Linked DNA regions of Tribolium castaneum. The protein of the gene in region 2 binds, or shares a complex with, the protein of the main gene of each other region. Links are inferred from orthologs where the notes say so. Each region holds a gene or a part of one and is shown on either strand. Other genes may lie near its edges.

Evidence for each region.
Region 1: mTor (region 2) and Sin1 share a complex: the UniProt entries of both Homo sapiens proteins name them as parts of the mechanistic target of rapamycin complex. The link is inferred for Tribolium castaneum from reciprocal best matches to the Homo sapiens genes MTOR and MAPKAP1.

Annotation. Positions count from the first base shown.
Region 1 is NC_087397.1:9,927,710-9,931,631, forward strand, and holds Sin1 (target of rapamycin complex 2 subunit MAPKAP1), read right to left. Parts: upstream 2,323-3,922; 5' UTR 2,253-2,322; coding exon 2,162-2,252; intron 2,118-2,161; coding exon 1,574-2,117; intron 1,414-1,573; coding exon 1,175-1,413; intron 1,128-1,174; coding exon 795-1,127; intron 745-794; coding exon 560-744; 3' UTR 517-559; downstream 1-516. Other genes in the region: Pdzd8 (PDZ domain-containing protein 8), read right to left, coding at 1-66, 114-275; crb (protein crumbs), read left to right, coding at 2,661-2,709. UniProt on the Homo sapiens protein: Component of the mechanistic target of rapamycin complex 2 (mTORC2), which transduces signals from growth factors to pathways involved in proliferation, cytoskeletal organization, lipogenesis and anabolic output.
Region 2 is NC_087399.1:3,307,035-3,310,714, reverse strand, and holds part of mTor (serine/threonine-protein kinase mTOR), read right to left. Parts: intron 2,804-3,680; coding exon 2,125-2,803; intron 2,077-2,124; coding exon 672-2,076; intron 600-671; coding exon 368-599; intron 316-367; coding exon 1-315. UniProt on the Homo sapiens protein: Serine/threonine protein kinase which is a central regulator of cellular metabolism, growth and survival in response to hormones, growth factors, nutrients, energy and stress signals.

The DNA.
Region 1 (3,922 bases), on a different chromosome or scaffold from region 2:
AACCAGGCTAACCGATAAACTCGTCGCATCGTTCAATTCTTCACTATCCAATTGTTTTTTCAAAGACTAAAAGCGCTTCGATACACACAAAAACATAAATATTTAATACATACCTCTGGTAAAACGTAATCAGTAGAACACTTTTTCTCATTTGGTGTGACCACTGGACTTGTTTTAAAATAAGAATACAAAATATAATATTGCACCACGAGAGTCACTATAATACCAATTAAAAAAGATATAAAAACTAGGAACATGAACAAAAATATATCCATAGCGCTTTAAATTATATTATCACCATTTTTAGGCCCGTTTTGTTCGAAATAACACAAAGTGGAGTCAGTTTACCATTTTATAGCCCCCTTGTGCTTATCTCATATATGATAAGCGTCAAAAAAAGCCAAACATGATTTTCCTTTTTCTGTTTTTTTCTCAAGAGGGTAATGACACTCACAGCTGACAGGTGACGGTTGAGGTTATGTAACGAGGGTACGTTCCCAAATCATAACGCAAAAAAATAATTTATGAATTTATTATTATATTTTAGTATACAAGTTACTTAAATCAACGCTTTTTTCTTATAATATTTCCGTTCTTGCGCTGCCAAATACTCCTTCCGTGTGTCACTAGACCTCAAATCCAAAATCAGGTTTATTTTATTTACGATTTCTTCGGCAATTGATTGGTCTGCCTCAAATTCGTAACTTTTGAAGCTAGCTGAAGATTGTAAAGTTGGACTTGAAACTAGAAAAACAATTAAATAATCAAGAAAATTAAATAATTACAAAAAATACCATTTTCAGCGTTTGCGAACGAATGGCTGTAAATGATTTTGAAAGTCATTTTGTTGCTTTTGGTAGTTTCAATGGGTTCGCACCACGCGATCATGTCCATATCGTGGTTTATGGGTTTTTGTTTAACTAGAACAAATTTCGAGTTTTTTTGCACTGGGTCAATTTCGATTTTTTCGCCACTTATTCCTAAATGTATTTCAACTTTGGCCCGCATTTTATTAATCATGTAGACTTTGAACGATTTGTACAGTGGGGCTTCCATTGCTTTTTTATGAACGTCCATTAAGTGTAAATCGGTGGTGATTTGTTTTTCCTGGTCTTGTTTAGACGAATCTAAAGAAAAAATTTAAATTTTAAACCAAAATGTGGCAAAAGCGAACCTTTTCCTTTTTTGTCATTGTAATCGAATTTTCTGATTGTAACAGTTTCAGAGTTCCCAAAACTGACACACTTTGAGGGATCTGAATGTTCCACAAGCCCTAAACAAGCAAACCCAAATTTGGCAATATTTTCCCTCGGGTCCAAGTTGGGGAAGTCCCTATCCACTTCTCCGTCTTCTTCAGTTATGTACAAACCGTAATTGTTTACGGGCTTCCAAGGATAGTCTTCATACATTGTACTTAAAAATTTTGTTTTTCAATTATTTCATTTCCTGGTCAAAGTGGCCTGTGACTTTGAAATCAAGTTGGCAACATTTTAACGCTTAGCCAATAGCGTGCAACTATGTCATCAGTAACTTAGAATATTGCCAACCTAACTTCAGGATCAAGTTAACAAACCTGCATTTGAGTAATATAAGTCCAATCAACTCTTGAATTTTAGCAGAAGAGGTGCAACAAACAGCCAAGGGGTAATTCCTCTGGTGCTCTGGTAGCATTGTTAGGAAAATTCTATACTTCTTCACTTGAAGATTGACTTGTCCGCTGCCATCAAACTTGGCATAATCCATATAAGGGTTAATGGGCATCATCTTATGCTCCTTGAAGGTTTTAGAAAACAAAGATTGCTTCGGTTCTATTACTTTGGGTTCCTTTTTTACGAATAACTGATCAATTTGTTCCTCACTCAACTCGTTCTTGTTCGTTTCCCATTTAATATGTTTGATTCTGCCAGTTCTCTTTTTAACCTGTTCTAATTTTTCTAATCTTACGGCAGTATTCGATCTGTATCGTAACGGGAAATCGGTGTCAAGTTGTAGGTCGTAAGATTCGTGAGACAAATCATCTTCATCTTCACTGTCTTCGTCATCAGGGTACGAATCAAGGCTTTGCTTCAGGTGTTTCCTGACACCTTCCTCCCCTGTCATTATTAACTCGCACATTCCTAAAACTTTGTTAATCGAGTGTGATTTTGAAACCTAGCCAAACCTGTATCATCTGTAGAAATGAAAGAGTTGCGTATGTGTGATAATAACCAGTATTTGTTGTCGTAAAGGGCCATCGTGTCTGATGTAAACATTGACAAGTTAGGTTATGTAAGAACTTGACATAACGCTCATTATTGTTAGATAATAGGCGACAACGCTTTTTTTGAGCATATTTTAATATTTTAAAACGTGTCGTTTTATCAAAAAATCAAACACTTTTCGATATCATTGGCCCCAATTGCTAAATTTTTGAAATTTGGTTCATATTGGGAGCACTGTCTACACACAACAAAATCACTAAAATTGTCACTAGAAAAAGTGTTGTGTGGGTGCTGGGTGTTGTTGTCTTGTGAACCTGTCGTTTATTTTGTGTTTATTTACTGGTTTTAAATAATAAAATTATGTTTTTTTCAACATAAACACACCTCCCCGTTGTTGCTTCATGGTGCATATGATTTTAATGAATGTAACGAAAAAACCGCAATCCAGTTGTCTCAAAGATGGGTTTCTTGAGTTCTTGGAGGTTGGGACCAATTTCTGTTTTCTTGGGTAAGTCCTACTTCCGGTTTCGTACACGTTTTGGCTTTTTATAAAAGTAGTTGATTTGTATCTTTTGTTATTTAAATTTCCTTGATACAAAAATTAGAAAGGTTTTGGAACAATAACTGTTTCTGCAATGTGAGAAGATGAGGTGAGTCACACCGATTTAGGCCTCCGTTTCTCAGAAAAATGATTAACTCGGACGAAAAGTTTATTTTTGAGAGAAATTATGGCAAGGACATGGGGAGAGTTTTATGACCCAGCTTGCCATGACAACTCAAAGTCAACTGTGATTGATCATTACCTAATTTTTCTGTATGCAGTTTATTGACAAATAAATAAATCACACATTTTTTTCATAAATTTTGTTGGTTCCATACAACAAACAACCCCAAAATTAGGCTTGGTAGGTTTGGAACAAAATTCAACAGGTGTCCAGACAGGTGTTCCACCTGTGCCTAATTATGAATTTTTTGAATTATAAACAATTCTCATATAATGATGAAGTAATGAAATCGTACTTTTTACAGACTAGGCAAATAAATATAGGGCAAAATTCAATCAAGTCGGTTTAGTCGTCATGGCTACGGTGAACTATAAGCTAGGAGACGAAACGAGATTTTCTGGACCCGAAAAAATAGTACAACATTGTAAAAATGAGGGCGTTTCGAGCGTTATATCGTCTCAGTACCAAATCGTTTTAAATTAATTTAAATCCAACCAATTCACTAATTACTTGGAAAACATCAGGAACGTTAAGCTTTGCACTCTTAACAGACAGAAAAACTAACTATTAAAATTTTTATAAGAAACATAAGAAAAAAAATTAAAATTTTAAATTTGCGGTTTGAATACAGTTGAAGATACAAGAAAAATGTGAGGAAGAAATTTGTAGAGAGGACGGGAACGCTTTATTTATCCTAACCTTTAGATATCCGTAGTCATGGCCAACTAATTTAACCGCACTAACGGCTTAAACCCAGCGATTACCGCATTACATCATTAAATGATTTTTTAGCCCCATTACATGTCCCACATGTTCGTGCTGTGATTTAGTTTGAGCATATTTTTCACGGATGAAAAAAATGTAATTTTGTATGGATCGAGTTCTGGGACTCACGATTTTATCTCTTTTATTTCCTAACAATTGTAAGATTATAAGTTTGTTAAGATAATGCATTGAAAGAATTTTAATTGCTGTTTATATTTTTTAAATTCTTGT
Region 2 (3,680 bases):
ACCGCTCTTGCGACACAATGACGCGTATTTCACCCACGTTCGTTTGTCTTCTTGTGGGGTCAAGACCAAGGAATGGACTTGGATGATTCTTTGCCAATCTTCGACTAGTTTTTGGCCCGATTGGAGCCTTTGCCACCACATGGCTTTTAAAGTGGGCCTCCGTTCTGGCACTAACCGATACTGCATTACTTCTTCCAACTCGGATAACATTTGTACCATGACCATGGCCCCGTAGGCCCTTTGGTAGGACTCACCAGCCATCGCAGTTAATTCATTATCGAGTAAATCGCGAGCTGAATCGATGAATCTTTGGGCCTGGAACCGGTTAATAAACCAAACCGATCTGTCTGATTTTTACGGTACAAACCACTTCGTAATCCTCTTTATGTATTGCCAAAATTGCACGGTAGAACGCACCCTCTTGCGTATCCCTTGGAATTACATTAACGTAAGTTTCCATTGACCTGTAATCGTGCAAACCGAAGGAGGCCGCAGCCGCTAGCCGACTCGCCTTTTGTTTGCTGTCGTCATTTAGTAAACTGAAACTTTTCTCGACGACTTGGTGCAGTTCGCCCCATTCGCCCAACGCTTCGAGACATCTGAAAAATCAATGTAGAAGTTTATAAAACATAACTAGGATTTTTTTGGGAAAAGACAAAATTGAATCGAACCTCATTTTGCCCAAACAAGCCTCTTGGTCCGCCTCGTCCCCTTCCAGTTTCTCAGTATACAACCTCAGGGCCTTCTCCCAATTGTGCAACTTCTCGTACCACCTGACCTGCACTTGCATTTCCCTCTGCATGACGTATTGTAACAACCCTTCAGCCGCCTCCTTTTGTTGCAACTTATTATTGATCGAAATGAGTGCTTCGACAACCTGGCTGCTCGCCCCCCTTTGAAACTCCTCTTCCTTATAATGCAAGGCTTTGGCGTACGCCCGGCAATGCATCGCATGGTGCCCCAGAATGTGGCTATCGAGGGGCAAAGGCCCCTTGTCGCAATGTTCCATAAATTCGGCCAAATTCAAAATAGTTTGAGTTATTTCCGGAACGTCCGGCACAGTCAAAGCTTGCTCGAGACAACTGATCAGTTCATTCTGCATGTTTTCGCTCAATTCGGACCAACAACTTACGAACGCTGCGTTGAATAAATCACGTGGCAGTTGCGAATACGTCTGTGCCAAAGTAAGGCACGAACGTAATGCTGGAATTGGTGACTGTTTTAATAGTTCGATACTGAGGCGTCTTAGCCATTCCAACCAATCGTCTTTCGAGACTCTTCGGACAGGGGTCCAGGCCTGTTGTAGGTTGGATTCCGAAACTTTGAGTCTTTGAATCATTCCACTATCGGCAGGCATCGCTGGGTCTCGATTTTTCCCGGTTGTTTTGGATCTCGGCATTGGGAAATCAACGTCTTCGGCCAGTGTTGTCTCGTATTGGATTTTCGAAACTAAAGTATCGAATTTACTGTGTTGTATCTTATGTTTGGTCATCACTTTCTGTACGAGAGGTACGAAAATTGAGAATTTTCGCCCCAATTGTTGCATGAGTGAACATAAAGTTTCCATGGCTGTGGGTCTCAATTCGGGACAGTTGTCAATCGTTCGAACCAAGGGGTGCACAATGCGTGAGATAAAGTCCGAAAAGTCAATAATTTCGGCCAGTTGGTCGATAGTCTCGAGGGCTTTTTTCGACACGACTATTGGACACTCCTGAGCGTCGAATAACCGGACAATGGGGGGCAAAATCAAGTGCATATATTCGTCCAAATTGTTACCGAAATTGTGTAACGCTTCCAATAATTTGATAGTGTAGAGTCGTTCCTTGGACGTGTCGTGGTTCAACACGCGTAAGATATGGGGCAACATTTTCGGTAAATAAACCTTAAATTGCGCCCCCAACGCCACTGCGATGTGTTCAACTAAAAGGATCAAAGTCCCTTGAATCGTACTGTTCGGGGTCCAAAATTCTTTGATTAGTAGGCAAATGTCGTCCAAGTAGTTACGAATGTGTTGCTTGACGATGTAGATTAGTTGTGCCAACTGTTGGAAGAGGAATTCCTTAAAGTTAACGTCGGCTGAAACAATATTTTAGTTGGCACAACTTAAATAAGGTCACAACTCACCTGTCCGTACTACGTGCAAAAGACTGGGCAAAACTTGCGATATATACGGCACACACTTAATCCCCAAACTTTTAAAAATGAAAGTAACTGCTTGCACCACCATTGTATGGTGTTGTGCCAGCGTCGGATCCTTAATAATCCGCATCAAAGTGGCTATAGCTATCGCCAAATAGTACTCCTCCAAAGTGCTCGAACTCATATTAACCAGCATTTCGCTCGACGTCAAATCCGCGTTCAAATCCTCCCCTTTATCCGTCATCGGTATCAAAACGGGCGCTTCGGGATAATAATCAATCTCCCCCCGATTTATTTTATGTTTGTACGGATCCAAAGCCCCCAACAGCCCCAAAACGCGGATTGTTTCTCGCCGAATGTAGGACTGTTGTTCGGTTTTGAGGAAATTGAGGAGGACGTCGAGCAGTATTGGATATTCGGTGTAGGGTTGGATTACGTGACCGGTCACTCCAACCAACTGGCCCAAGGTGCATAAGGCGGCGCCCCGTTTTTCGGGGGCGGAAGCGTCGCCCAACATTTCGAGTAAAATACCCATCAGTTCTTGCATCCATTCTTGCAGTTCGGTGCCTCCGCTGCTCACCTCGGCCAAATCGCCAATTGTGAGCAGGACGGAAAGGACGACGCCGGGGTTTGGCTCGGGGTCGCGCAGTTTGGGCACCAGGACCTATTCCAAAAATAAATTTAAATGTTAATATTGAAAAAAGGAGCGAAAAGCTTGCAATTTGTTTTTTCTACCAGTTGAAGAGTACAAGGGAAAGACAAGGAACGAATTCTCAAAGTTATTGATTTAATTATTATTTATTAGACTTTTTCGCAATTTTTTAGTTATTCTGAATTTTTTATTGGCCCATTCGAATGTACGAATTCGTAGAGATTCGTCTTAAATTAAAATATTTTCCAATGCCTTTTAAAAATAGCAGATTTTGATCCTTTGAGAAATTTTGCTTGGGAAAAATTCCTGCTGGAAAATTGTTTTACGAGTTAGAAAATGACGTTTTTAATTCCAATTATTGGAAACAAAAGTCGTTCCCTGTCTTTCCTTCGTAATATAAAATTTTCCTCGGAGCAAAAATGGTGGATGCGCCGGGCAAATTTTACGATCCTTTAAAATTTGAGTTAGAAAATGACGTTTTTAATTCCAATTATTGGAAACAAAAGTCGTTCCCTGTCTTTCCTTCGTAATATAAAATTTTCCTCGGAGCAAAAATGGTGGATGCGCCGGGCAAATTTTACGATCCTTTAAAATTTGAGTTAGAAAATGACGTTTTTAATTCCAATTATTGGAAACAAAAGTCGTTCCCTGTCTTTCCTTCGTAATATAAAATTTTCCTCGGAGCAAAAATGGTGGATGCGCCGGGCAAATTTTACGATCCTTTAAAATTTGAGTTAGAAAATAACGTTTTTAATTCCAATTATTGGAAACAAAAGTCGTTCCCTGTCTTTCCTTCGTAATATAAAATTTTCCTCGGAGCAAAAATGGTGGATGCGCCGGGCAAATTTTACGATCCTTTAAAATTTGAGTTAGAAAATGACGTTTTTAA